Linked DNA regions of Pelodiscus sinensis. The protein of the gene in region 1 interacts with the protein of each later gene in a pairwise test. Links are inferred from orthologs where the notes say so. Each region holds a gene or a part of one and is shown in the gene's direction. Other genes may lie near its edges.

The links.
Region 2: the proteins of KASH5 (region 1) and GOSR2 interact in binary tests that used the Homo sapiens proteins (3 or more experiments, as listed by UniProt). The two-hybrid records come from large-scale screens. The link is inferred for Pelodiscus sinensis from reciprocal best matches to the Homo sapiens genes KASH5 and GOSR2.
Region 3: the proteins of KASH5 (region 1) and BET1 interact in binary tests that used the Homo sapiens proteins (3 or more experiments, as listed by UniProt). The two-hybrid records come from large-scale screens. The link is inferred for Pelodiscus sinensis from reciprocal best matches to the Homo sapiens genes KASH5 and BET1.
Region 4: the proteins of KASH5 (region 1) and UPK1B interact in binary tests that used the Homo sapiens proteins (3 or more experiments, as listed by UniProt). The two-hybrid records come from large-scale screens. The link is inferred for Pelodiscus sinensis from reciprocal best matches to the Homo sapiens genes KASH5 and UPK1B.

What each region holds. Positions count from the first base shown.
Region 1 is NW_027465974.1:153,145-160,276, reverse strand, and holds the start of KASH5 (protein KASH5), read left to right. Parts: upstream 1-4,116; 5' UTR 4,117-4,680; intron 4,681-5,506; 5' UTR 5,507-5,529; coding exon 5,530-5,674; intron 5,675-7,132. UniProt on the Homo sapiens protein: As a component of the LINC (LInker of Nucleoskeleton and Cytoskeleton) complex, involved in the connection between the nuclear lamina and the cytoskeleton.
Region 2 is NC_134739.1:2,714,776-2,722,208, forward strand, and holds the start of GOSR2 (Golgi SNAP receptor complex member 2), read left to right. Parts: upstream 1-4,433; 5' UTR 4,434-4,562; coding exon 4,563-4,591; intron 4,592-7,433. UniProt on the Homo sapiens protein: Involved in transport of proteins from the cis/medial-Golgi to the trans-Golgi network.
Region 3 is NC_134712.1:212,343,308-212,350,648, forward strand, and holds the start of BET1 (BET1 homolog), read left to right. Parts: upstream 1-4,328; 5' UTR 4,329-4,466; coding exon 4,467-4,485; intron 4,486-7,341. UniProt on the Homo sapiens protein: Required for vesicular transport from the ER to the Golgi complex. Functions as a SNARE involved in the docking process of ER-derived vesicles with the cis-Golgi membrane.
Region 4 is NC_134711.1:144,295,457-144,302,484, reverse strand, and holds the start of UPK1B (uroplakin-1b), read left to right. Parts: upstream 1-4,009; 5' UTR 4,010-4,144; intron 4,145-7,028. UniProt on the Homo sapiens protein: Component of the asymmetric unit membrane (AUM); a highly specialized biomembrane elaborated by terminally differentiated urothelial cells.

The sequences.
Region 1 (7,132 bases):
ACTGTGACCAATTTCCAGCCTCTTTACAGCAAATCAACCTCAACTATTTGATTGAAATTAAGTAATTCACCCATTCCCAGTTTCTATTTGCCAGAAGCTGGGAATGGGTGACAGGGATTGACTGTTCTATTCATTCCCTCTGGGGCACCTGGCACTGGCCACCATCAGAAGACAGGATACTGGGCTAGATGGACCTTTGGTTTGACCCAGTTGGGCCATTCTTTGGGTCTTAGTCACACATCAGATTCGTATTATCCCTGTGTATTGTCTTCAAAGTTCATGCAATAATTGTAGTTTTATTTCTTCAGAAGGCTGGAATCCTGTTTTGTACAGCAATCTATATAAAATCCTGGGCTGCTTTAATTAATCCTCACAATATCCTATTGGCTCTAGCTCTGTTTGGGGCTATATTAATGTTTTTCTTATTGTCAGTGACAGCACTACTGTAATGTGACGTTTGTGCATGAGATCAGATTGTGCGTGTACATGTCAGAGAGGGAATGCTTGTGAGAGAGAACAAACTCAGGCACCTGGTGCTCCTATCATGTTGTAGCTCTGTAGGCAAAGCTGTATTTCTGGAGTTTTGGTTTCATTATGTGTGCACTTGTGGTTTGGTTCATTATGCTGACACTTCTGCCTGCCACTTGCTGCTCAGATCCACAGGCTACAAAAAGAGTGTGTGAGGATGGAGGGAGCAAAATGGTGCATAAAACTGATGCTTGTGGCACTTTTTGCAAGAGTAACTCTAGGCTGCTGGTGCAATTTGGAACCAGTTCCATTCATCCTATTATAAGTTCTGTCGTCATTGCTAAAGCATCAGAAGTGGGTTTGTTACTCTCCCCTTCCTGTGCTAAACCACTGCGTACTGCAATGATTATTATCCATCTCACAATTTGCTTTAGATCAGAGTAGTGACCCCACTCTATGGTTGCTGGATGCAGTTCTCAAACCAGAGGACCGAGTTGCTCATCCCTCAAAAACTATTTGGGGCTGTTCCTCTGTCACCTGTTTGAAATCCTCACACACACTTAGAATCATAGAATCATAGAACTGGAAGAGACCTCAGAAGGTCATCAAGTCCAGCCCCCTGCTCTAAGCAGGACCAATTCCAACTAAATCAACCCGGCCAGGGCTTTGTCAAGCTGAGACTTAAATACCTCTAGGGATGGAGACTCCACTACTTCCCTAGGTAACCCATTCCAGTGCTTCACCACCCTCCTAATGAAATAGTTTTTCCTAATATGCAGCCTGGACCTCTCCCACCACAACTTGAGACCATTGCTCCTTGTTCTGCCATCTGTCACTACTGAGAACAGCCTCTCTTCATCCTCTTTGGAACCTCCCTTCAGGAAGTTGAAGGCTGCTATCAAATCCCCCCTCACTCTTCGCTTCTGCAGACTAAACAGACCCAAGTCCCTCAGCCTCTCCTCATAAGTCATATGCTCCAGCCCCCTAATCATTTTGGTCGCCCTCCGCTGGACCCTCTCCAATGCGTCCACATCCTTTTTGTAGTGGGGGGCCCAGAACTGGACACAATACTCCAGATGCGGCCTCACCAAAGCCGAATAAAGGGGAATGATGACATCTCTGGGTCTGCTGGCAATGCTCCTCTTAATGCAACCTAATATGCCATTAGCCTTCTTGGCTACAAGGGCACACTGTTGGCTCATATCTAGCTTCTCATCCACTGTAACCCCCAGGTCCTTTTCTGCAGAACTACTACTTAACCGGTTGGTCCCCAGCTTGTAACTATGCTTGGGATTCTTCCGTCCCAAGTGCAGGACTCTACACTTGTCCTTGTTGAACCTCATCAGATTTCTTGTGGCCCAATCCTCCAATTTGTCTAAGTCATTCTGTACCCTATCTCTGCCCTTAAGCGTATCTACCTCTCCCCCCAGCTTAGTGTCATCCGCAAACTTGCTGAGGGTGCAATCCATCCCCTCATCTAGATCATTAATAAAGATATTGAACAAAACCGGTCCTAGAACCGAACCTTGGGGCACTCCGCTAGAAACCGACCGCCATCCTGACGTTGAGCCATTGATCACTACCCGCTGGGCCTGGCCTTCTAACCATCTTTCTATCCATCTTACCGTCCATTTATCCAATCCACAATCCCTTAACTTGCTGGCAAGAATATTGTGGGAGACCGTATCAAAAGCCTTGCTAAAGTCAAGGTATATAACATCCACTGACTTCCCCATGTCCACCGAGCCAGTGGAAGAGTCTCTACAGGTGTGAAATGTATCTGTGAAGAGACAGCAGTGGTTCACGCCTATCTTGTTTGTGCAAGTACAAAGGTCTTGGATGGTTACACATCTCCCATGCCCATGACATGCCTTGGCATCGCATGCTGTCTGTTCTTCCAGGGCTAGGCTGAGAACACAGAGCAATCCCCTCCATGTGGACGAGCTAGGTCCCACAGCCTTTCAGTCACCACTTTACAGTCGCTTTCCATTGAGGTGTGCCCCTGGGAGGTGTAGAAACAGGTGTGACCTCCTGGGGCACAAAGTTATCCATTTTCAGGGGTTATTTGCGGGGGACAGAGGGCATGATTGGACTAGATCATACTAGATCATACCACTTTTTTGGTGGGTGGGGTGGGGAGAATTAATTTTCCAGGGGAAAGCCTTGTGTCACAACAGCACCCCCAGCCTTGCTATTCTTGGCCCACATGGAAAGTTTATTCAGATATGTAGGAGAATTAATCAGGTTTTATTCTATGGGGGGACTTTCATGGCTGGGAGGGACTGCCTGCAGGGTTAAAGGTCATGATGCCACAGCAAACCCATGTTGTACACCCTATGGGCCAAAGTAGAGCACACTGATTTCAATTTTGTGGGGGGGAATTAATCCCCTTTAATTTGGGGAAACCCCTCACTCCGGGATATCCCTGGGCCACAGGTCCCAGTGGCATGGCAGCTCCTTGCCCCACACATCCATTGCCCCCGTAAGCACCCAAACCTCTCTGCCTGCCTCATTCACTTCATGTGCATTTGGGGAATTAATCTACCTAATTTGGGGGGAGACCCTAATTTAAGAAGAGGCCATTCAGGGGATGTGAAGGGTCATTTTGTTGTTGTGACCTCTGATATATCCCTAAATTGCCATTATGATTTCCAACCCGGCAGGTACCCTCAAGCCCTCAAAGGAGACCCCCCCTCCCACAATATGGCTGAAATAAGCATCTTTGGCTACGTCTAGACTGCAAGCCTCTTTCGAAAAAGAGCATCTAGATTACAACCAGTACTTTCGATAAAGCAAGCCGCTTTTTCAAAAGAGAGCACCCAGGCTGTCCGGATGCTCTCTTTCAAGAAAGCACAGTTTGCATTATATAGCACCTGTTTTCAAAAGAGCACTTTTGAAAAAAGGCGATATTCCTCGTAAAACGAGGTTTTCCGCAGTCGAAAAAACTGCTGCATTCTTTTGATTTACTTCCGAAAGAACGCAGCAACACTCTAGACGCAGGGGAAGTTTTTTTTCGAAAAAAGGCCACTTTAAAAAAAAAAAAAAACCAACAAACAAACAAAAAACCCTTGTATTCTAGACACACCCAAAAGGGCCTAGCAAATAGATCCTCCCACATGCGGAGGTTGGATATGTCATTTTGACATTCGGTGCCTCAGTTTCCCCATCTCATGATGCTGGTTGGTGGGAACATGCTAAGAGGGCCCTGGGCACTAGCCTTCAGCCTGAGCATGTTTAGGGGTCCCCCTCTCATGTTTGCAGCCCCCCTTGCCATGCAGTGTTTGTTTCATTGGGGGTGTCACTTTTTTGGGGGGGTTGCCCACGTTGGGGGGGGTGCCCTACCCATGGGGCAGCCTCTCCCCCCCCCTCCTCTACTTAATAACTGTAGAGGGTGATTAGCCTGGTTAATTTGGGGGAATCCCCGCTCCCCCCTCCCCCTCCGTCTATGAAGTCACTGGTGCCATTGACCCGCCCCTCCCCCCGCCGCGCGCGCACAGAAGGGGCTCAAGCCGCGACCGTTGCTGCCGCCCCCAACCGCCGCCCGGCCCCAAGTTTGAATTTTCCCGCCTTTTCAGGGGCCGGGCGGCATCGTTCTGAGGCTCGCGCCAGCCCCTCCCGCCCCTCCCCCCGGGCAGCCCCCAGCGAGCGGGCTGCCCCGGGCGGGGGGAGGAGGTGCCCCGCCCCCCCATGCGAGGAGGGAATTAATGTTGGGGGGCACGCCCCCCCTCAGCGCCCTGCCCCCACACTCACGCCAGTGCCCCACACACCCACTGTCCTTGCCAGCCCCCAAGTCCCCCCATTTTGCCCCCCAGCACTCACACCAGCCCCAGAGAGCCCCGCAGCCCCTTAAGCTCCCAACCCCAAATCCCCCTTCCCCCATACTCATGCCAGCCCCACAGCCCCAACCCCCCCCCTCACCTCCCAACACTCACCCAGAGAGCCCCACGGACCTATTGCCCCCAGAAGTCCCCCAACCACCCCAAATCCCCTCTGGTCCCCCCACATTCATGCCAGCCCCAAAGACCCACTGCCCCTGAAAGCCACTGAACCCCAAATCCCCCCTTGTCCCTGAGCACTCACACCAGCCCCAGAAAGCCCCAAAGACCTGCTCCCCCCCCTGTAAGCTCCAACCCCAAATCTCCCCTGCCCACCACACTCACACCAGCTCCAGAGAGCCCCACAGACCCACTGCCCCCATAAACCACAAAAAAGGTTGGTATCATTAGCCCCTGATGGGGAAACTGAGGCACACAGTGAGGCAGGGACTTGCTCAAGGTCACCAAGCAAGCCAATGGCTGAGTCAGAATAAAACCCATTGATGCTAAGCAAATATGCTCTTCTCCCTAAATACACTCATGTCGGCCAGACATCCCAGGTAATGCCCACAGGTCACCTGGCCCATTGGCTCATCATATCCCATTTCACCCCATTTTTACAGACTTGTGGGGGCTGCCCTGAGCCTGGTACAACTGTCCCCGCTTCTTTCAGCACCACTCCCACACACCCCTCTCAGATAGGCTGTCTACCCTAAATCCATCCCCTCGGGTAGAGAGGGCAGCACCAGCTGACCCCGCAAATAAGCTTTTAATGGGCATGGGGGGGGTGTCTTGACCCCCACATTGCCCTCTGCTCCATGGATGCCCAAGTTGATTAGACAAGACAGATTCCAGTCTAAGCAGGGGAGGGGTTCCCGAGACCTCTTCCAAAAGCGAACAGTTCGGGGCCGAGTGCTGATGGCACTGGGCCAAAGCCAGCTCCTAGAATGATACATGTGGGGGAATCTAAGGGTCTGGCTGTCCTGGTGTAACTACACCAATACAGCTACCCCTGTAGAGTGAGTCCCTCCCTACCCGCTCTAGCCTTTATTCTTGTCTAGTGGAATACGATCGATCAATCAATTTGCTGCAGTTTAATCAGGTGTCCCTTGATTAGTGCTTATGAGGACAGCATTGGGAAGGCTGGTCCCTATGCTACCCCCAGCAGAGAGCTTCCTTTGGGAAGGAGGACAGTGAGCATCATACTGTCTGTTTTATTGCAGGGCTAGCGAATGTGGCAGGAGACATGCTGTCCTCACAGGAGGCCGCTTCCCCCTGGATCTCTGATGAAGCCAGCTTCTGTGGAGATACAGATCAGCCAGCGAACATGCAGACCCTGTCTCACAACCCTGCAGCAGCTGTACAATTGCATATGGTCCAGTCATCAGAGGGTATGTAGCACCAGTTTGGGGTCTGTCTGTCTACTAGGGATGTAAAATCCCATTTAATTGGCTAATCGGTTACACACTATTTAACTGGTTAACCAATTTAAGGGGGGGGCAAGCAAGGTGGGAGCAGCCTCCCCCTTGCTGCAAGCAGAGGCTGCTTCAGCCTGGACAGAGAAGCCCCTGCCTGCATCCCCCCTGCCACAGGCAGAAGCTGCACTAGCTGGGTTGGAGCAGTCTCAGCCAGAGCAGCCCCTGCCTGCAAGGCACCTGGGGGCCTGCCGTGGGGCTGGAGCAGCCCCCTGCCCATAGCAGGTGGGAAGCTGCTCCAGTCCCTACTGGTTAACCCGATAAACTTTTACATGCCTATTATCTACTATATCCCCCCTCCCTTACTGTAGTAGCTAAGCACCATTTGTAATGCTACCTCTATGAGGTAAGTGCTTTGCTGAATAGCTAGCTACATTTCTAAGCCACATGGTTGCAAGTGAAAACACAATCCAAGGGTAAACTGAGCAGCGTGGTCTGCCTAAATCTGCAGTACTAGCTCTGGAGATGAGATCCACGCCATTCCTCCAAATGGCTCTGAATCCTACGGACAACAAATTCACCATCCGTACTTCAGGGGGTGGCCGAGTTAGTCTGTTACAGAAAAAAACAACAAATGGTCTGGTAGCACTTTATAGACTAACAAAACATGTAGATGGTATTCAGGGTGTTCAGAATGCCTAGCCTAGTACTCTGCCTGCTAGACCATGCTGCCTCCCAGGTTAGGCTCTGATTCTGCAGTCAGATCAGTAGAGGAGCCCCAATGGTGCAGACTGGATTTCAGGATTGGGGCCTTTCTGTGAGAGCTTAAGTGTGAAGAAGAAAAGCAAGAAGCACATTTGCTATGTAGCCCATTCACCCACAGCTTCAGGGTGTGGTGTATTGTCCCATCTAGTGGCATCTAGTTGGCTCTGCAGCCTTAGCTAGCAGTCTTAGCTACCACATAGGCTTTTAGCTTATGTGGTAGATGGCTATAATACCTAGAGGCTACGTCTAGACTGGCATGATTTTCCGCAAATGCTTTTAACGGAAAAGTTTTTTCGTTAAAAGCATTTGCGGAAAAGAGCGTCTAGATTGGCACGGACGCTTTTTCGCAAAAGCTTTTTGTGGAAAAGAGTCCGTACCAATCTAGACGCGGTTTTGCGCAAGAAAGCCCCGATGGCCATTTTCGCCATTGGGGCTTTTTTGCGCAAAACAATACCGCGTTGTCTTCACTGGCCCTCTTGCGCAAAAGCATTTGCGCAAGAGGGCTTTTGCCCAAACGGGAGCAGCATAGCATTTCCGCAAGAACACTGACAATCTTACATGAGATCGTCAGTGTTCTTGCAGAAATTCAAGCAGCCAGTGTAGACAGCTGGCAAGCTTTTCCGCAAAAGCAGTTGCTTTTGTGGAAAAACTTGCCAGTCTAGATGCAGC
Region 2 (7,433 bases), on another chromosome or scaffold:
CCAGGGTGGCTGAATCCAAGGAACTAAGGAAGGCTAAGATGTACGTAGACAAGGCTTTCCGGGACACTGTAGAACCGTCCCACCTTCAATCAGACAGCCTCTGTACTGTCAAGGAGGATGAAAGGCTCAGGGAAGGAGAACAGTCTCCTGGAGCAGAGGGAAATGATCCCATAATTGGGACCCTCCTTCCAGAGGATGTTATGGTATCCTTTCATTCTGAGGATACATCTCCGGGGGAGGGAACTCCAATCATTAGGAAAAGGCAGGTGTTAGTAATGGGAGATTTGATCATTAGAAACATAGATAGCTGGGTTTGTGATGACCGGGAGAACTGTATGGTGACTTGCCTGCCTGGTGTGAAGACTGTGGCCCTCTCAAGACATCTAGATAGACTTATGTGTAATGCTGGGGAGAAGCCGGTGGTTATGGTACATGTAGATACCAATGACATAGGGAAGGGTAGGAGAGAGGTTCTGGAGGACTAATTTAGGCTGCTAGGAAAGAGACTGAAATCCAGGACCTCTATGGAAGCATTCTCTGAAATGCTTCCAGTTCCACACGTAGGGCCAGGTAGGCAGGCAGAGCTTCAGAGTTTCAATGTGTGGGTGAGACAATGGTGTAGAGAGGAGGGGTTTAGATTTAGAAGGAACTGGGGAAATTTTTGGGATGGGGGAGCCTATACAGGAAGGATGGGCTCCACCTATACCAAAATGGAACCAGACGGCCAGCACTTAACATTAAAAAGGTTGTAGAGCAGTTTTTAAACTAAGGGCTGGGGGAAAGCCGACAGGTGTGGGGGAACACCTGGATCGGACAAAAACATCTCTTAGAGGAGGTCTATTAATAGAGATGCTCTGTGTTCTAATCAGGAGGAGAGGATGGAAATATGGGTCATATCAGATGAGACACAATCAAATGAAAAAGAGTCAGGAAATGGCAGACAGATAAATACTGAGACATTTTTAAAGTGCTTATACACAAATAATAACATGAGTGAACTAGAGTGCCTAGTTTTAAAGGAGGATATTGACATAACAGGCATTTCAGAAACTTGGTGGAATGAGGACAATCAGTGGGACACAGTCATACCAGGGTACAAAATATATCAGAAGGCTAGAACAGGTCATGCTGGTGGGGGAGTGGCACTATACATGAAAGAAAATGTAGAATCAAATGAAGTAAAAATCTTAAATGAGACAAAATGTTCCATAGACTCTGTAGGGAGAGTAATTCCATGCTCCAATAATAAGAATATAGCAGTAGGGATTTATTATCGCCCATCTGATCAGGACAGTTGAGGCTATGTCTACACTGGCGCGATCTTGTGCCAGAGCTATACAAATGAGGCTAAGCGTGGAATATCGCCGAGCCTCATTTGCGTATCTAATGAGCCGCCATTTTGCAGAAGAGGCTCTTCCACAAAATGGCGGTTCATTAGATATGCAAATGAGCAGGGCTCGACAAATAATGCAATCTACTAGTCCATGGCGAGTAGATTGCAACCCAGAAGAGCCAGGTTTGGGCAATCTGCGCATGCGCAGATCACCAGATGATGCGGCTGGCGAGCAGGGCTCGCCGCGGTTCGCCAAGCTCTGCAAATGAGGCTCGGCGATATTCCATGCTTAGCCTCATTTGCATAGCTCTGGCGCAAGATCGCACCACTGTAGACATAGCCTGATAGTGACTATGAAATGCTAAGGGAGATTAGAGAAGCTATCAAAATAAAAAAACTCAGTAATAGTGTGGGATTTCAACTATCCCCATATTGACTGGGTACACGTCACTTCAGGACAGGATACAGAGATAAAATTTCTTGATACCTTAAATGACTGCTTCTTGGAGCAGCTGATTTTGGAACCCACAAGGGGAAAGACTATTCTTGATTTAGTCCTAAGTGGAGCACAGGATATGGTTAAAGAGGTAAATATAACTGGACCGCTTGGAAATAGTAGTGACCATAATGTAATAAAATGTAACATTCCTGTGGTGGGAAAAACCCCTCAGCAGCCCAACACTGTGAAATTTAATTTCAGAAAGAGGAACTACACAAAAATGAAAAGGTCCAGTGACAAAAGTAAAATATCTGCAAGCTGCATGGAAACTTTTCAGAGACACCATAATAGAGGCCCAATTTAAATGTATAACCCAAATTTTAAAAAACCAATAAGAGAACCAAAAAAGTACCACCCTGGCCAAGTAAAAGAAGCGGTGACAGATAAAAAGACATCTTTTAAAAAGTGGAAGTAAAATCCTAGTGAGGAAAATAAGGACCATAAACTTTGTCAAATTAAATGTAAAAATATAAGAAGAAAAGCCAAAAAGGAGTTTGAAGAACAGCTAGCCAAAAACTCAAAAAAGTAATAGCAAAATCTTTTTTAATGTACATCAGAAGCAGGAAGCCAGCTAAACACACAGTGGGGCCCTTCGATGATCGAGATGCTAAAGGAGCACTCAAAGATGATAAAGTAATTGCTGAGAAACTAAATGAATTCTTTGCTTCAGTCTTCACAGCTGAGGATATTGGGGAGATTCCCAAACCTGAGCCATTCTTTTTAGGTGACAAATCTGAGGAATTGTCACAGATTGAAGTATTATTAGAGAAGGTTTTGGAACATATTGATAAACTGAACAGTAACAAGTCACTGAGACCAGATGGCATCACCCAAGAGTTCTGAAAAAACCCAAATGGGAAATTGTGGAACTATTAACTGTGGTTTGTAACCTATCCTTTAAATCAGCTTCTGTACCCAATGACTGGAAGATAGCTAATATAATGCCAATATTTAAAAAGGGCTCTAGAAGTGATTCTGGCAATTACAGACCGGTAAGTCTAACGTCAGTACCAGATAAATTAGTTAAAACTATAGTAAAAAATAAAATTGTCAGGCACATAGATGAACATAATTTGTTGGAAAAAAGTCAAAGTGGTTTCTAATAAAGGGAAATCATGTTTTACTATTCTGGTAGTGTTCTTTGAGGGGGGTCAATAAGGGAGAACCAGTGGATATAGTGTACTTAGATTTCCAGAAAGCCTTTGACAAGGTCCCTCACCAAAGGCTCTTAAGCAAAGTACGTTATCATGAGATAAGAGGGAAGATCCTTTCATGGATTGATAACTGGTTAAAAGACAGGAAACAAAGGGTAGGAATAAATGGTAAGTTTTCCCAATGGGAAGAAGTAACTAGTGGGGTCCCCCAAGAGTCTGTCCTGGGACCAATCCTATTCAACTTATTTATAAATGATCTACAGAAAAGAGTAAACAGTGAGGTGGCAAAATTTGCAGATGATACCAAACTGCTCAGGATAGTTAAGACCAAAGCAGACTGTGAAGAGTTTCAAAAAGATCTCACCAAAATAAGTGATTAGGCAACAAAATGGCAAATGAAATGTAATGTTGATAAATGTAATCTAATACACATTGGAAAAAACAATCCCAACAATATGTACAATATGATGGGGACTAATTCAGCTACAACTACTCAAGAGATCTTGGAGTCATTGTGGATAGTTCCCTGAAAACATCCACTCAGTGTGCAATGGCAGTCAAAAAAGCAAATACAATATTAGGAATCATTACAAATCATTACAAAAGGGATAAAGAATATATAAAATTATGATATGCCCACATCTCGAATACTGCATACAGATGTGGTTGCCTCATCTCAAAAAAGTTATATTTGCATTGGAAAAGGTTCAGAAAAGGGCAATAAAAATGATGAGGGGTTTGGAATGGGTCCCATATAGAGAGATTAAAAAGACTTGGACTCTTCAGCTCAGAAAAGAGGAGACTTGGGGGGGGGGGGGAGAGATATGATAGAGGGCTATAAAATAATGACTGGTGTGGAAAAAGTGATTAAGGAAAAGTTATTTACTAATCCCCATAACGTAAGAACTAGGGGTGCCCAAATGAAATTAATAGGCAACAGATTTAAAACAAGAGGAAGTTTTTCTTCACGTGGTGCACAGTGGGCCTGTGGAACTCCTCGCCAGAGGAGCCCAGGACTTGAACAGCATTCAAAAAACCCAGCTAGGTAAATTCATGGAGGGTGGGTCCATCAGCGACTATGGGGGGGATGGTGTCCCGGGCCTGTTTGTCCCGAGGGATGGGGGAGGAGCCCCTGTTGTGCCCCCCCCTCTGGGGAGCTGCTATTGGCCACTCCAGACAGTGGACACGGGGTTGGTCTGACCCCATAGGGCCTCTGTTCGTGTGTTGCTCCGTGGGGGGGGGGGGGGGGTCTGCGCCCTCCACCCGCCGCGGCGGCCGCCGCCATTTCCAAGCAGGGGCTGGCAAGACACCCCTGGCTGGGCCCTGCTCGCTCTGAGGCGCATCCGGGACTCCCCGGGGCGAAGCCGAGGCTGCACCCCGCGCGGGCCACGTGCTGGCCGGCAAGCGCGCGGGGGGTTCCAGGTGCGGGGGGCACGTGCCAACGGCGGGAGCGCGCTTCGCCCCGTCCTGCCGTCAGGCAGCAGCATGGGCAGCCTTTCCGGGCGGAAGTGGCCGGGCCTAGCGGGCGGAAGCGGAAGCGGGTGGCCTGACGTGTCGCGCCGCGCCGCGCCGCGCCATGGAGGCCCTTTACCACCAGACCAACAAGTGAGTGGGGGTCGCGTTGGGGGCGAGGCCGCGCCCGGCCCAGAGCGAGGAGCCGGGCTAGCAGGGCGAGGGAGGTGCCGCGGGCTCCAGCTCCCGCCGCGGTGCCGGGAACGGGCCTTACAGGGGCAGGGGGCGCTGCACGCGCGTGAGGGCCCGAGCCCTGGGGCGCTACAGCCGGGAATTGGCGGCCTGGCCCCGCTCCTGCCGCGGCGAGGGGGGGGCATTATTGGCCGTGACGGTCCTGGCTTGGCCCCTGTCCCTGAGCGCCGAGTCCCGGCGAGGTCGATTAATCCGACCCCAGAGCCCCATTTCCTGCACCCCGGACTCCGCCACGCCCCAGCCCTCTGGCTTGAGCCACCCACACGCCACACTTAAATTTCTTATAGCTACTGTTGTATTGCAACATTTCCCCCCTTCCCTCCTCCCTGCCCGGAGCTGCCTCCTAAGGGTGGAGGGCATGTTGTGATAGGTACCTGTAAGAAAGGTAAGGTTATTTTCACCTCTGGATACAATTCACTTCCTCAGATGCTGAAGAGAAAAGAAAAAGGAAGGGATACAGAGATGGCAGTGTAGTGTTAGCCTACTTCTTTCAGGGTAAATATGTTGCCCACCACCACACTTACAGGATGCAGCGTTTCTGCTGAAATGCTGTAGTGATTCTTTGTGAGGGTTGTTGTTTATGGCATAAGGGGTGTCAGCATGACGACTCTGGAAAGTTTAAAAAAAAAAAGATGGGGTGTGTGCATGCTTGTGCGCACAACCAATAGCTTGTCTTGGAATTGGCACAAATAAGAAAATATAAGAGGAAGGGGACCACACAGGAATTGCCTGAAGTTTCTGTAGTAGTGCAATAGAGACTAGCATCGCATGCTTAAGAGGAGGGTGCAAGAAACCTTGCAGAATGCTAATTTGCTACCTATGGAATTGTTTTTCATATCAATAAATTGGCTAGAATAATAATTTAATCATAATGTTAGGAATTAAATAGTTTTATAGTAGTTTCATTTTCTCTTTGTAAATCCATATCTATCTTGTTTGTTTATTGCATTCCTTTTGGAAATGGTGGCAAGGGTAGATAAGGAAAATTTATTTTAATCTTGTATATCCTCTTTCCCTTATCAACAAGCATCCATGTCTATGAAATACTCTGAGCTAATTACAGTATTTTCTGATACTTTGTCGCACCACATTGTAAGCACTTTAAAGGCAAGGACAGTGTCCACTTACATATTTGTGCAGCATCTAGCACAAAGCAACTTCTTTCCCAACATGGACCTTTGGATGATACTATAATATATGAGTGTGTATCAAGATTTATGGAGGATGGGAGGATCCCAAAGGACATCCTCTACGGGGAACTGGCATCTGGAAAGAGAACCACAGGGCGCCCGAACCTGCGATTTAAAGATGTCGTGAAGAGGGACATGAAAGCCATCGACATAAACACGCAGTCCTGGGAAGACCTCGCAGCAGACCACCCAAAGTGGAGGGGCACCCTGACCACACAGCTCAAGTCAGGCGAAACGAACGTGATGCGTGCATCAGAAGAAAAGCGAGCCCGCAGGAAGTTACGCAACAACAACAGCCAGGGAACCACCTATAGCTGCGACTTCTGCGGCAAAGAATGCCTGTCCCGGATTGGCCTTTTCAGCCACCAACGACGCTGTCCCCGACTCTGTCCCAGACAATTCGACACGAACCAAGACGAGAACTAGCATACGTCATCCATGGTCAACTGACCGACGGAGGCCAAAAAAAAAAATCAAGATTTTAGTGTTGAAAAGCACTAGTTAATACAGGCAGTCCCCGAGTTACGCGGATCCGACTTATGTCGGATCCGCAGTTACGAACGGGGCACTTCCTCTCCCTGGTCTCGAGCAGACCAGGGAGAGGAAGCAAAGCGGCGGCGGAACGCGCGGCCAGCTGACAGCCCAGACGCGTCTGGGCTGTCAGCTGGCCGCGCGCTCCGCTCTGCTCTCCCCCCCCCCCCCCCGTCTGCAGACCAGGGGGAGGGGGAGCAGAGCGGAGCACGCGGCCAGCTGACAGCCCAGACACTTCTGGGCTGTCAGCTGGCCGCGCATTCCGCTGCTCTGCTGTGCTCCGCTCTGCTCCCCCTCCCCCTCCCCCTCCCCCTGATCTGCAGGGGGGGGGGGGAGCAGAGCGGAGCACAGCAGAGCAGCGGAATGCGCGGCCAGCTGACAGCCCAGATGCGTCTGGGCTGTCAGCTGGCCGCGCGTTCTGCCGCTCTGCTCTGCTCCGCTCTGCTCCCCCTCCCCCTGGTCTGCAAACCATGGGGGGGGGGGGGAAAGCAGAGCGGAGCACGCGGCCAGCTGACAGCCCAGACGCGTCTGGGCTGTCAGCTGGCCGCGCGTTCCGCCGCTCTGCTCTACTCTGCTCCCCCTCCCCCTGGTCTGCAGACCTGGGGGACGGGGAGCAGAGCAGAGCAAAGCCGCGGAGCCCGAGGGCAGCAGGATAGCCACGGCGCGTCTGGGCTGTCCCGCTGCCCGCGTGTTCCGCCGCTTTGCTCCCCGTCCCCCTGGTCTGCAGACCAGGGGGACGGGGAGCAAAGCAGAGCAAAGCCATGGAGCCCGAGGGCAGCAGGATAGCCACGGCGCGTCTGGGCTGTCCCACTGCCCCCGTGCTCCGCGGCTTTGCTCCGGACGCCTGTGGTACAGCAGCTGGGGCGCTGCCGGTTGGTCCCGTAGCGCCGCTCTGGGTGCCACTGGACCAACCCAGCAGCACCCCAGCTGCTCTGCCCCAGGTGTCCCCTAGTCAGCAGCTGCTGAAAATGACCAGTGGCTGACTACAGGAAGCCCCTGCCCCGGGCTTCCTGGAATCAGCC
Region 3 (7,341 bases), on another chromosome or scaffold:
TTGCTCACAAATAAGCACCTCTGATCTGGATGGAAGTAGGGAAAGCAGTACGAGAACACTATTTCCTTTTCTGAAGGAACTGATAAGTTTTCCTGGACAGTTGTGAATGAAACCTAAAATAATGGGCAGCATAGATATGCATAGAGTAAATAGTAAATGCTATTGCATTTCAGATTTGGTTTTATGGAAAATTTCTTGGTGCTGGAGGGAGATTGTACTGGAAAGGGCTAAAATGTATTTTTTTCTCCCAACCTTACCTTCTCCTCCATTCTTTACTCTCTTCCCCCCTGCCACCATCAGTGCCTCTCTAATCCTGCTGGTGTTATATGCATGCTACACATCTGCAGTCTGCCAGCCTGCTCCTCTGTAGCTCCTTCAGGGTACGTCTAGACACATTGAAATTGCTAATGAGGCAGGAATTTAAATATCCCGTGCTTTATTAGCATAAACATGGCCAACACTTTTTTTTCGAAACAGAGCTTTTTTGAAAAAAACCCTGGCAATCTAGATGAGGATCTATTGAAAATAAACCCTTTTTTGAAAGATGCTGTATTCCACAAAAACGAGGTTTACAGGCTCTTTCGAAAAAGGGTTTATTTTTGACAGATCCACGTCTAGACTGCCATTTTTTTCGAAAAAGCTCCATTTCGAAAAAAGCGGCAGCCATATTTATGCTAATGAAGCGCAGGATATTTAAATCCCTGCCTCATTAACAATTTCGACATGCCTAATCTACATCTCTCTGTCAACAGAGAGGTGTAGTCTAGACACACCCTCCATTAGGGTTGCCAGATAGTTTAACCAAAAATACCGAACCCCTCCCCCCCCAAAAAAAATCCTGTTGAGAAAAAAAAAAGGGGGGAGACCCAGGCTGTTAAGCACAAAAAATAAAAAATAAAAGAAAATAAAAAATTAATAAATTATCATGGCCCCTTTAAGAGGCTTTTTTTGCTGGCAGTCATCTTGTTTTTCTGTCCTGGCCACAAGACAAGCCCCTGTGGAACCAGGTGAGCTGGGCAGGTGTGGGGGGGCAGCCCCCCTGCTGCCTTCCGCATGGCTGGAGCACACAATCTACTCTGGTGGGCCCCAGTAGGCTCTTATGTGTGAGGGGAACGTGGGGAGCATCTTTCTCTTTCTCAGTCGGGGGCCAGAGTGAGGGTTTTTTACTTGTGTGTGGCCCCCGACTGATTTTCCTCTGAGTCAATGGTCCCTGACTCAAAAAAGGTTCCTCACCCATGGTATATAGAATGGCAGCTGGTTTGCTAAGACACAACATCTATTATACTGACCAATATTGTTTAATTATACTCCCTGATTTGTCTGTATCGTAATCACGTATTGTCTTGTTTTATACCAGGGCTACTCAACTTTGGAAGCCCTGGGGGCCACAGTGATACAGCACATGCCGAGGGGCCGCAACTTAAATGTGATTGCATATGCATGCAAATATATGCAAATAGCTTTTTTCACACTGACGGGCATGACTACAAAGATTAAGGCAAGACTACACAACACACAGGCCCCATTTAAGCCAGTTCTGCTGATATCAATAAAATGCAATATTTATCCGATTTCCACCCATATGACAGCACTTTTAATGAACAATGACAGTCCAGGAATTTAACTGCTAAAACGCATATCAACAGAAGACCATTATATTAACTACTTTTTTGGTTTTGCTCCCACCTGAGGGTCACGCGTTGAGCCCTGCATAAATCCAAACCGCACTGTGGGCCGCAAACAGGCCGCGTGTTGACTAGCCCTGTTTTATACCTAAATTGCAAGCTTCTTGGGACAGGAACTACCTACCGGTTATTCAATTGTGATGTATCTAGCCCAACAGGGTTCTTGTTCATGACGGGGATGTCTAAGCACTACTGCAAAACAAAAAATAAATAAAAACAACATAGGATGCCAGTCCCCTATAAAATTAGAGAATCCAGTGTAGCCTCTCTTGTCTAGTAGGTGCCTCACATTAGGAGAATCTATTAATAAAACTTATACAAGCATTTTATTTAAACTCAAGTATCAGGAAATCACTCATCCTCAAAAGAGGTCACACTTAGGGATGTTAAAATGCATTTAATTAAGTAAATGTGTAACCACTGAAATTTTCAGCAGTTACACGGTTTCACACTGAGGCGAGGTGCAGTTAGCTTCTCAAGAGCCAGTGCACGCAGGGAGACAGTTTTAAGCTGGCTCTGTGCACACCAGCTCCCGCCTGCCCCCATCCCCGTGCTGCTGCCCGTGATACAGAGGCAGCAGTGAGGGGGGGTTTGAGGAGGCGGTTCCTCAGGGGCACCCCATGCATACCAGGAGCCTGCATATAACCATGCAGGTTAACCAACGAGCCCTGGCTCATCACTTAACCATGTACATGGTTACACTTTCACATCCCTAATTAAAACATCTGATATGCTTATGTTTGAAGCTAGATAATATTTCTCAAATTTGTTAGACAAATTTCAGAATATATTTAAAACAAATGATTTAATTTTTTGTTCATATTCATTCAGATAGAAAGCTTTGGATGGATAATTAATGAATATATTTTCTAGCAATTTATTAGACTAATTTTATAATGCATTTCATATGAAAATTAATGTATTTTCAACTCTAACTAGGCTTTAGACTAGAATCTTCATCTGCACCCTGATGTACCACAATCCAGTGACAGCTAGGTCCAGAAAATGACAGTTTTATAAAGAATTTTTGGGACGATTGTGGGAAAAATGAATTGGAAAAAGAGCAATCTGCAGCCTTCAGATATGTTTTAGCAGTAGGGTTATCATACTGGGAAATAAAATTAATCTAGTGGCATACAGAGTGAATCATAGCCTTAATAAAAAGAGATAAAGCCCAATTTTGACAGAGCATTAGACTGGGTTAAGGATTATAGTAGAGGATGAATTACCTTTGCAAATGAAATCTGAATTATTCTTACCGCTAAAGAGTCAGTAATAGTAGGATCTTGAATTTTCCCTTTTGAGCAGCTGTCTACTTTTTCACTTACAAAAAAGGCGTTCCATTAGGATCAGAGGATATCTTTTCAATACTATGACTCCATCTTAGAACAGTGAAAAACAATGTTTTTAGAATGTATTCTTCCTGCGAAGGTGCCCATGATTCAAGGAGCACCTGAAATCTTTTTGCAACACCAAGACTAAGGCCTTTCTATTAGTATATGAAATGATCAGGTCCTAGAAAATATCTAGGGAACATGATTCAAAAATTAGCACTCATCTTAATAAATGAAAGTTTATTCTATTTTCAAAATAACTTTAAATTTAAGAACATCTTGCTCCTTCTTTTGAGACACAAGCAGGGCTACCAGACGTCCTATTTTTAAAGTGAATAGTCTACGTGAGGCTATGTCGTACAGTGTCATCTATCATCCCCACACCTTCACAATTTTTCATACTTGTGGTCAGGTCACCCTTTACATGAGTAACAAAATATCTGGTGCACACACTGGCCTACCAATTCACTCCACTGGCTTTAGTGGCTAAGGGCCAGCCCACAAAAAGATCTGAACTTTGGCAGCCTGGAGTTCCTTTTGCCAGATACTCCTTAGCTTGGGGCCCTGAGCTGCAGCCCTTTAAGCCCCTGCATTAATTCAGCCCCGCTCCCTCCCAGGGTGATGCAAATCAGATGTTGCCACACGCTCCAGGAGAACTTTGGGGAGCCGCAGCCTACACCTCAAAGGGCCACATGGAGTGAGTAGCACACTGTGTTAGAGCCACATGGGCAGGTATAAAGGGGATATCTGCAGGGCTCTACACATGGAATCGGAGGCTGTGACTCTGGGAAGTACAAAAGGAGCAAATCTATGGACAGCTCCTGACCCAAGGTGCGATGGTTTCTCCTCACCTCTTCTGCCCCGGCTTGCGGCAGGCCCCACGAAGCACGAGCGTGCGTAGGGTGGGGAGGCAGGCCGAGAGCAGAGGGGACAGAACGGGAGTGGGACCCCCGGGAGGTGCAAGCGGGAAGAGACTGAAAGGGGGCGGAGAAGCGGAGCGCAGAGACTAAGTGCGAGCAGGAGGGCAAGGCAAAGGGCGGCGCCAGGCAGCGAACTCCAGGGCACAGGGCTGGGCTCCCCGGGCACGCGGGACGCGGCAAGGACGCCGGCCAAGTTGCCAGCTGACGGGGCGGGGCTCATCCCAGGCCCCGCCCCCCTGAGGGTCGCGGCCGGGAGACGATGGCAGCCCGGGCTGGCGGCGCCGGCGCGCTGGAACTACACTACCCAGGAGGCGCCGCGCGGCCGGAAAAGGCTCCGCACACGGAGCGCCGGGACTGCGTTACCCAGCGGGCCGCGCGGCGGGCGAAGCGATGTCGTGGCGTTTGGGGCGGTGGGCGGCTCACGAGGGCCCGGAAGTTGGAGCTTGGCCGCGGCCGCCGACGGGCAAAGCCGCTTCCTCAGCGGCTGCGGGCGGGGCCGCCGGTCCCCTGCCCACCCCGCCGCAGGGATGAGGCGCGCCGGGCTGGGTAAGCGGGGCCCGGGCGTGGGGGAGGGGCCGGCGCGTGAAGGGAGTGGCGCCGGGCGGGGGCCGCAGAAGCGAGATACCGTCCCAGCTGCTTCAGGGGAGCCTGGGTGGGAGCCTTTTCCTCCCGCCTCGCTGAGCTCATCGGACATGCCCCCCCCCCCACTGAACGGTACAAACCCTGGGACAGTCAGGGGGGGGGGGCCCGAGTCATCTGGGGACCCGTATGTAAAGCTGCGCTCGATCAGCCTCAGGGTGCCAGAAAGCGAAAGCAGATACATTGAAAATGCTGCCCCCCCCCCTTTTTTGTTTTGTTTCTGTAGCATGTTAGTATTGAGATCGTGGGCTCTGTTTTAGGGCCATTGACTAGGAAAACTTTTTTGTAAATTCATGTCGAACCTTTCATTTCCTGCCTGAAGACAGGCAAGCTCGACTGTTGGCATCAACATTTTAGAGGTGTCGAGAGCGTGGCTTGAAAATAATTCTAAGTCCGGGGTTTCAAACCTCCAGCCATGGCCAGAGAGATTGGACAGTTCAGCCCGGAAGCCATCCCCCAAGACACTGCCTGCCATTGCCCTGCCTCTCCTCCACGTAGGCACCTTGTCCCCTGGGGAACACTGCTTCAGGAATCACTGGTGGGGAGCGGGAAGAGTGCTGTTCACACTCCCCCTGCACAACCCATGGGGAAGCAGAGCGGTAACAGATAGCTCTCTCCCTCTGGAGTCTCAGGCCAGATCGCATAATTGCTGCAGCCAGGGATGGCCTGTGGGCCAGGAGTTCGAGACCTCTGCTTTAAATGTTGGGTAACAAGTGCAGTTGTGCAGGACAGCGATACAGTAAATTCAGGATTCATTGGTGTGGCGTCCTGACTGGTCTCCTGCTCCATCAGTGATGATAAACGTTCAGCTGCAGGCATTTTCGTATGCTCCCTTAGTATATCATGCCAGCTTTTTGCAGATAGCTAGCATAGTAGACTTCACAAGAGCCCCCAAAGATGGCAGACTCATAAAACACAAAGGCACCCAAGTCAGGTTTATTGACAAACGAAGTACATTAATAGGTGTTGGTAGCCAGATGGTCTCTGAGCCCCTATACATTTGTACCTGGGACAATGGTCTTGGTTCAGTCAATAGTATGGATTTCAGCATTGCCCCCTAGGCCAGCCAAAGGATTAAGGTACCCCAATATTTATAGACAAATGAACAATCTATGAAACACACTACATGTATCCCCTTATGCACTAATGACGTTTGGTACCTCCCCTTGTACTTTCCTACAAAGCGTTCACTATCTGCTGTTATGCTTTTTATTCTTGTTTCAAACTATTTTATCATGTACTCAGTTGGGTGTCCTTCTACTGTCCTGGTGGAATGTATTTACATACTTCATGTGCTTTTATCAGTGCTAGCAGTTAGTGCTGACACATACTGACTTGCAGGCAAACATCTGCTTTTGACTCCGTCTATTACTCATAGTATAACTTTTACTTAATTTGGTTCTACCACCAGGCCCATGCTACAAGCTCTCTCTTTCTCCTACAATAAGAACGTTGGTCATTGGAAGAATTATGTAAAAGGAGGCATGGGAAGTTATAAACATGTTGCTGTCACAGCAATTAAGTCCTTTTTCTACTGTGGAGGGTTGTGATTTCCTCTTTCATGGAGGGGGGGGGGGGTAAATGAGAAAAAAACAGTGTCCAAATAGGAAAAAAACTGTTATGTAAATAAAATGCAAGAATGAACTAATAGATTACCTATTGGATTACCCGGTCTACTAATGAGTTATGATCTACTTTGACGAAATCATTCAGAATGTAATAAAATAGGCTTTGTTTAAATTACACTACATTTTTTATAGCAGCATAGCCTATTAGGATAGACTCACCATATGTGACTAACATGAATTCTACAGGCATCAAAACACCACTACCCTTCATTAACTTACCTTTGTAGCTATGTCAACAGAAGAAGGCTTCTCAGCATATACACTGTGAGTTTTCCCTGCACGGCTGTGTCACCAAATTATGTTTTTTCTCTACGCTCTGGACTGAGATTGCTATGCTAGTATAAATATTAAATGTAGACTGCGCTTTACTCCAGGGTGGGGAACTTATAGGCCACAGCAAGTTTATATGCCATGGTCCAGAAGCCCCGAGCCTCAGTGCCCCCACACAGCTGGAGCTGTGAGTGCTAGCTCATTAGCATGTCCCTGTGTCCTCTAGGCAGAGTGGTGGTTGGGGAAGAGCTCTTTCAGAAAAAGGTGTGTGTGGACGGGGTAGAGGGTTTTTTTTCCAAAAGAAGAGGCCTCCAGGAAAAAGCACAAGTGCCCTATAAGAACATAAGAATGGTCATACTGGGTCAGACCAAAGGTCCATCTAGCCCAGTATCCTGTCAGGTACCCCAGAGGGGGTGGACCAAATACAGTGATCAAGTGATTTGTCTCCTGCCATCCATCTTCAGCCTTTGATAAACAGAGGCCAGAGGCACTATTTCTTACCCCCTGACTAATAGCCTTTTATGGACCTAACCTCCATGAATTTATCTAGCTCTTTTTTTAAACTCTGTTATAGTCCTAACCTTGATAGCCTCCTCGGGCAAGGAGTTCCACAGGTTGACTGGTGGCCACTCCAGATCGCTTTTTCAATGTGCTTTTGCTGTGTGGATGCGCTCTTTTAAAAGAAGTTTTTTTTGAAAGAGCTCTTCCAGAAAAGCTTCTTCTGAAAGAAGCCTACAGTCTAGACATAGCCTGTGCTGTGGGGGGAAGGAGGAAGGTTTCCTTAGTACAGGGGTTAGTAACCTTTCAGAAGTGGTGTGCCAATATTTAACTTTCTCCATCTCCCTCAGTGCAAGCCCTGTCCCTC
Region 4 (7,028 bases), on another chromosome or scaffold:
CATTCCCTGCTCTCCTGAGCTTCTGAGTCTGGCTGGATATTCAGTTTAAGACATCCTCTGATCGCCCCGCTTCCCCAAGCATATTTTAAAGAGCAAGGAAATCCCAAGTTATGGGGCACCTCTTAGCAGCATCCTCTTGCCCACACAGCAAGTTTCCACCATCAATGACAGACTTCACTTTCATAAGGAGCTTCCTTCTGCTTCCACCTAATGAAGAAACTCGCTGCGCATGAAGCATGTTCATGTCCCATACACACGCCCTTAGGTAACAGAGCTGGTTGAAATTTTTCTTACAAAAAGATTTGCTGTGGTTTTCTGCTTGGTTTTGTTGTTATTGTTTGATACAAGGCTTTGTAAATGATTTTTTGGCAAAATGTTAGATTTTTTTTAATCTTTTGATTTTTTAGATGAAAATCAGAAATACTTAGACTGCTAATTCTTTTTTTTAATTTTCTTTTTTTTAAGGTTTTAGTTTTTCATTTCCCCCTTTTTTCCTCTTTTCTTGTTTTTTTTCTTTTTCCTTCTTTTATTTTTATTTTTTCATTTTTTCTTTTAACCTTTTTCTTCAGAAAAGTTTGAATGCCTATTTTGTTACAATTTTCAAAAATGGGGAAATAATGGAAAAAAGAGGAAAAGAAAAATTGGTCTATTTCAAACCTCACAAAAGGAAAACAATTTCAAAATATTTCACTTTTTTCCCCCCTTTTTCAACAAGCACTGTTCATTCCAACCTCATGCTTCCCCCACAAGCAACACACCCTGCACCTATCCTGTATACATACGCTAATATTGCTGTGGTCATTGGGCAATGGGGCCATTGGGGGACACAGCGGAGTAGAGTGGATGGTGGAGAGTGGGGTCTCAAGGCAGAGTAGGAGTGCAGGACCACAATTTTGTCTCCCCTCCACTCCCCCAGTTCTCGAGATCTTCCCACAGTGGTGCTCCAAAGATGACTAGCTGCACCCTTCCAAAGAGAACTGCGCCACAGCCAGCATTTCTTGCCCCATTTGGGGAGATTTAGCCTCCCAAGCCTCTTGTACCCACTGCCCATGCTATGAAACAAAAAATTAACTCTTGCTGTTAATGTTTCATAATATCACCCACTGGCACAACTTTTCCTGTAATCTTGTGGCATAGCATCATTCCTTGGTCACTTACTTGTGTCAAGTTCTTTAGTCACTATGTCAAATAATTCAAGGCTATGGCCTAGTATGGCTCAGCTAAAATCTTACAGGCCTCATTCAGCCTGTAGTCCTTGTGTTTCAGCCCAGCTTATTTACATACCTAACAGATCATTATCCCTTCTAACTATTGATCAGTCTTATACATCCATCATTTCAATCTAGTGAGCATAGAGTGATTGCATATGACATAGCGTGTTAATTCGCCATCCAATAAATGAACAATAATTTAAAATAATTGGCTACACTGCAAAGTGGCCCCAAGGGACTGAGCTGGGACAGTGAGACATCTGGGGCTCAGCCAGTTGCAGATTGCTCTGTTTCAAGGTCAATATGTTTGTGTGTGTCTGAATACACCAGTGTGTGCATCGCATGTTTGGCTGCTGCCTTTCTGGCCAGCACGGCAGGGATTGAATTCGGAATCTCCCATGTTAAAAAACACAAGCAGCTGCAGCTTGAGCTGAAGAGCCATTGCTACCTTGCTGGCACAACAAACTCACACCCTGTGTGTCCAGGCCTGTGTATGTGTGAGGACACAAACTGAGCTTTGCTTTCAAAAGAGCAGCGTGTTGCTCCTCCTTCAGACACCAAAATTCTTTCTTGATCTGATCCCACCATCTCCTTGAGAGCCTGCTAAGCCAGTTGGACAGAAAGCTGTCACTAGACAAACAGCAGTGACAGCAACGACTCGCATTCCATCTCTCCCCCCACTTCCAACTCAAGATAGGGCGAACGGCAAGGCCTGTCCACAAGCACTCGACTGGGGATTAGGTCAAGCAACAGACACTCGACAGCACTTTCTGGAAAACTTCTCTTCAGGCTTGTGACTGACTGGCCCCAGCTCTTCACAATGCTGCTGACCCCTTCTCCTTGCTTCCTAGGCAGGCGCTTTCCTCACCTCCTCTCCCAAACCAGACTTTCTGCACACCTTGCCTCATTCTTGAAAGAGATGGAGCTTCTATTTGCCTTTCATTCTCCTTTGGGCTGTAGCAAACAGTATCATCATTGCAGCCAAAAGATCATTTAGCTGCTGCTGTAGCTATAGCTGGCAGGGGGCTCTGTGAAGCCACAATCCATGCCAGTAATGCAGGGATCCTTTATGTCCAGTAGAGCAGAGCAGACCAATACATTGAAAGCCAGTCTTTTTCTCTCCAGTACTGCAGAAGAATGAGAGGGTTGCATCAGCCCAGCGGGGCTTGCAACCTGTGCTTCTAGGGAGTGTAAATGCCAGCAGTGAAAGTAACTTAACATTTCTTACAGGCACTGTCTTATTACAAACCGGGTCCCTCACAGCTCTTTAAACAGCTCCCTGCTGGCTTTTGCCATAGCTCAGCCAGCTCTTGCCAGAGCTGCGCACCAGAGCTCACCCATGTATTTTCACCTCTGGAAAATGTTTTATATTTTGTTCTGAAGTGTTAGGCATAACAGCATAAACCTCACTGCCACTGAAAGTGCTCTTTAATCAGGGACACTTTCTTTGATGAAGTGCAGCCTTTGCCTCATTCCTCTAGGGGACTGTTATCCCAAGCAAACACTCCCACCTCACAGGTTCACTGCCCTAATAAGACAAGCAATGGGACACAGGCAAGCAGGTGTGTCTATCTACCCCATGTGTCACAAGAACAGTGATTATATAGAACAGCTAGTTCCTTCTTCACTTGTCCTTATGACAACATAATGTGGTTTTCCTGGCAGCAGTAAGTGGGTATCCACAGAGGTTAAACTACCCAAGTCCAGTATACATGGGGTTCTGTGAAAAACCTGCCCTACATTCTCTAGGAGTGGGGCTTTTTTTTTTTTTTGGTTGTGTAGTAATCCTAGGGACATGCCTGGAGGGGAGGCCCCCACAATGTTAAGAACTTTCAGAATTCTCACTCCTTAAGGCACTTTACAGGTGGGTTACTGGGGATTTTTTTTCTTTTGGTAATTGAACTGGTGCCCATGTATGCACTTTTTGATGTATACAGAGCTCCTGAAAGACTGGGACCCCATCCCCAAGTTTTTTCCCTCTGTTTGTTTTTTAACCTCAATTATGAAGAAGTATAGTCAACTTTACCTGGGGATCCCAGAAATGGAGATCATGAGTTTTCATAGCCCTTCACTGAGTGGGATGGAAGCAGGGGCTGATGAATCTTAAAGATATCCTTTGTCTCGAGTGTTCCCCTGCCCGCTTTTCTTCAGTGAACAAGCTTTCACTCCCTAATCAGTAATGCTACAAAGACTTCCACACACATTTAACTGTGGGTACTTTATACTCCTCCTGTGCAAAATTAAGCCCAAGTGTGATGTCATAATCCTACTCATTCTCTGGTCATTCATAGTCTTCTAGGGTGGGTAAAACCTGAATTTCTCATTTAGAAAACCCACTGAAGGTAAAGAAACCTAATAACTCCACCCAAATGCACCTATCTTTCATGCCTTCTTTATGAAACATGCAGACACAGATCAGAGTGCAAACCCAATTTGGTGGGTTTTCACTTTTGCCCCTCAGCCCCCTTTTTCAGGACAATGAAGGCATTTCTTAAAAACCCTTTCTGACTTTTCCACTCAGAGTATTCTCTTTGGGGATACCAAAATGGAGTCATTAAAATAACAGTCCATCCAGCAGTAATACACACACGTATGTACTTCTGATTCACCTATCCTTTTTAAAGTTCAGAGATCTCCTAGGAGTGAGTCACTTGTCCATCCCAATAGATTATAATAATACATTTTGGTGTGTGTATTTTCAGTACAACCACATTCCAGTACAATCAAAGAGGCACCTTCTGCTCCCATCCCAACCCAGGAACAGGTTTGGCTAGAAACAGGTTCCTCTCATATGTTGCACACCCCACCAATCAAAACCACTTTTCCTAAGCACTCGGGGACCTTTAAAGACAGGCAGAGCTGCAGGGGGGCTTGCTTAGCTTTACAGGTGTGGTTGAGTTTCTGTAGGATAGCAGCACAGCACAGCACAGCAGGTGAGTAAATTGCTGTATTCCTTTTCTCTGGATAGTCAAGCTACTGCTGTGTTACATGAAAAATAAGGAGGCTTTTGTAGTTAATGGCTTATTTTAGTATCTGCAATATAAGTGAGTGGGTGTTTAGTAATTTGATGGGATTAACTATAAGAGCTTATTAAGTATCTTTCTTTTCTGCCTGCAGGCTGCCTGTTCTGTACTGTTCCTTTATTTTACTTCTTAGAGACATGAACATTTAGAAAAAAGTTGTTACATATTGCCAATATATCTCTGAGTGCAGGAATAAAGGTTACAGATAAAGTGTGATCTCTATACTTACTTCTCTTCTGAAAGAAGGAAGGGGGTGTCCTTTTCTGGTTTGGTTCAATAAAGCTAGTAAGGGAGGGAAGAAAACAACTGTTCCCTATTTCTTAGGTTATTATACCTGATAATTGAACAGGCACTCTAGGGTTCTCATAAGCATCCTTTCATAGATAACAATTTCTCTCTAAAAAAGACTTAATTAGTAAGGCACTTGTTTTGGGGGGTCTATTTTATTCCTGTGGTCTGAAATAACTGGCTGGGTATTGTAGTCTTTTTTCTTAAACCTGGGGTGTTTGAGTGCTGTTAAACAAGCTGTTCCATTTCCGAGATGGCAGCATTTCAGTGGTGGGTGAAGTTACCAGAGGAGCTTGTTGAAGGGCAAAGAAAGCAGAGCTGCAAATGAACACTTGTGAAATGCTTTGCTCCTATGTAGTCTTTCATCCACAATGCTTAAAGAATTCGATATGGTGTCTAAAATGACCATAAGTTCATATAGTCTCCCCTTGTCTTAATTTTTTTGAAGCTAACTAAAGATCATCTGGTCATCTGAAGAAGTGGGTTGTGCCTGCGAAAGCGCATGATACCATTTACATGTTTTGTTAGTCTTTAAAGTGATACCAGACTATTTGTTGTTTTTTAAAGTTTATCCTGTACAGACTGACTCAGCTAGCCCCTGAAGCTAAAGATACAATGTTATCAAGTTCCTCGAGGCTTGAATTTTCTACTAAATTAGAAAATGTCATTTTGTCTAATGCAAATCTGTCTCCTCTACTGTCAGTCCTCAATTTCTCTTTAGCAGCTGATCAGAATGAGATTGTAGAGAGACCAGGTAGGTGGGGTAATATCTTTTATTAGATCAACTGCTGTTGGTGAGAGAGACCAGCCTTGACCTTACAGAGAGCTTTTCTTGCTCTGAAGAAGAGCTCTGTGTAAGTATATATCTCTCACAAACCAAAAATTGGTCTAATAAAAGAGACTTCCTCACCCACCTGGTCTCTAATATCCTTGGCCTCACACAGCTACAACACCACTGCATTCAAGAATGAAAGTCTTATTTTGAATGTGTGAGGAAGGCAGAATGCAGTAAACCCTCCACGGTTAAGGGACTTACCCCAACCAAACACTCCTGTCTCCTTCCATGTGAGAAATCTTTGAGACACACCTTGATATTTGGCTGATGTCGTTTATTATTCCTGCATGAGTGAAAACATTTTTTTTTCTAAGGCTGGAAGGGAAATGTTCAGTAATCTGGGCTTTGTTAGTTAGAGAAATAGAAGGTGTGGTCCTTGAACTTTTCAGATGTATCTGGTTAAAGGCAAGTTAGTGCTGGGTGGATGAACCTAACCTTTCTGTTGCTGCAAGATTTGGTTTGTTCAGTTGTGCACGAATGACTCTGAATGCAACAGCTGACGCATTTGGAAACACCTTGGATTGAATGATGGGCAAACCCTATGTGAGCCTGTTCAATAAGACGACTGGATCTGTTGTCTCTAGCCTCTTACTGCATGCATTTCAAAATGTGGTGCACAAACAGCTCCATAAAACTGGGAGGAGATAAATCTGGGAGTAGGTTAGCCTAGTGGCATCTCTGTGCGGAGCACTAATGTTGATTGGCTAAGTGGGAGCATAGGTATAATCCTGACAGACTCCAGGCATTTGCCAGCAGAATCAAACCTGGAACTTCTGAAACTTAGGGCAGGAGCGTCTACACTGCACGAGCCAACAACCAGAAGGAAGTTAGCTAAAGCTTTAGGACAGACTCATTATTCCCTCAGTAAGTGATCTCAGTGCCACTAGATGGGGCAGCACACCACACCCAGAAGGCATGTGGGTTACCACAGAGTGGAGGAGAGAAAATCTATGCACCTCTCTCCTGCCCCCACACTCGAGTGGCAGTGCTTGCTGCAAGATGAAAAACCTCTCTCTTGCAGAAGGCCAGGCTAGACACCCTCTTTTTTCTATCTCTGTTAACATTGGTGCTCAGCCAGTCCCTGGTGTGGGGGTGGAGAACTGCTGACCCACAAATCGGAGAGGAGCAAATCAGCTTTATACGTTAGGTCTGTACGAAACAGAAGGAAAGCCGAGGGCTGGGTTTCCTCTCCCTCAGGGGAAATCCTAGACTCTCGGCGTGCACAGCAATGGGGAAACCTCAGGTTGTCTGTGTCCAACGTGGGCATTCTGTTTAATGAAGACCTAAAAACTACCTTGAGCTGGACTTGCTGGAGCTGCTGCTGCATGAGATGAGGCTGCTTGGCTCTAAAAATGTGCCTTGTGTTTTGGGTGCCTACCAAATGGGCTTAGTTTGCATTTTCCACTTTCCTCACTGGCCTGACAGCTCTAACACACAAGACAACAAGTATAGGCCAAGCCTGTTCCTGGTGCAGCTGATGGGGCACAGAAAGCACAGACCTGCCCATAGATTGCTGAAGAGCAGTGATGCTGCAGCTCCTGAAGTCTGACTAATTTCTCAAGTCCCACACACAATCCTAGCACCCTAAAATTGGAAGGGACCTCGAGAGGTCATCAAGTCCAGTCCCCTGCCCTCATGGCATGACCAAGCACCATCTAGACCATCTTTGAC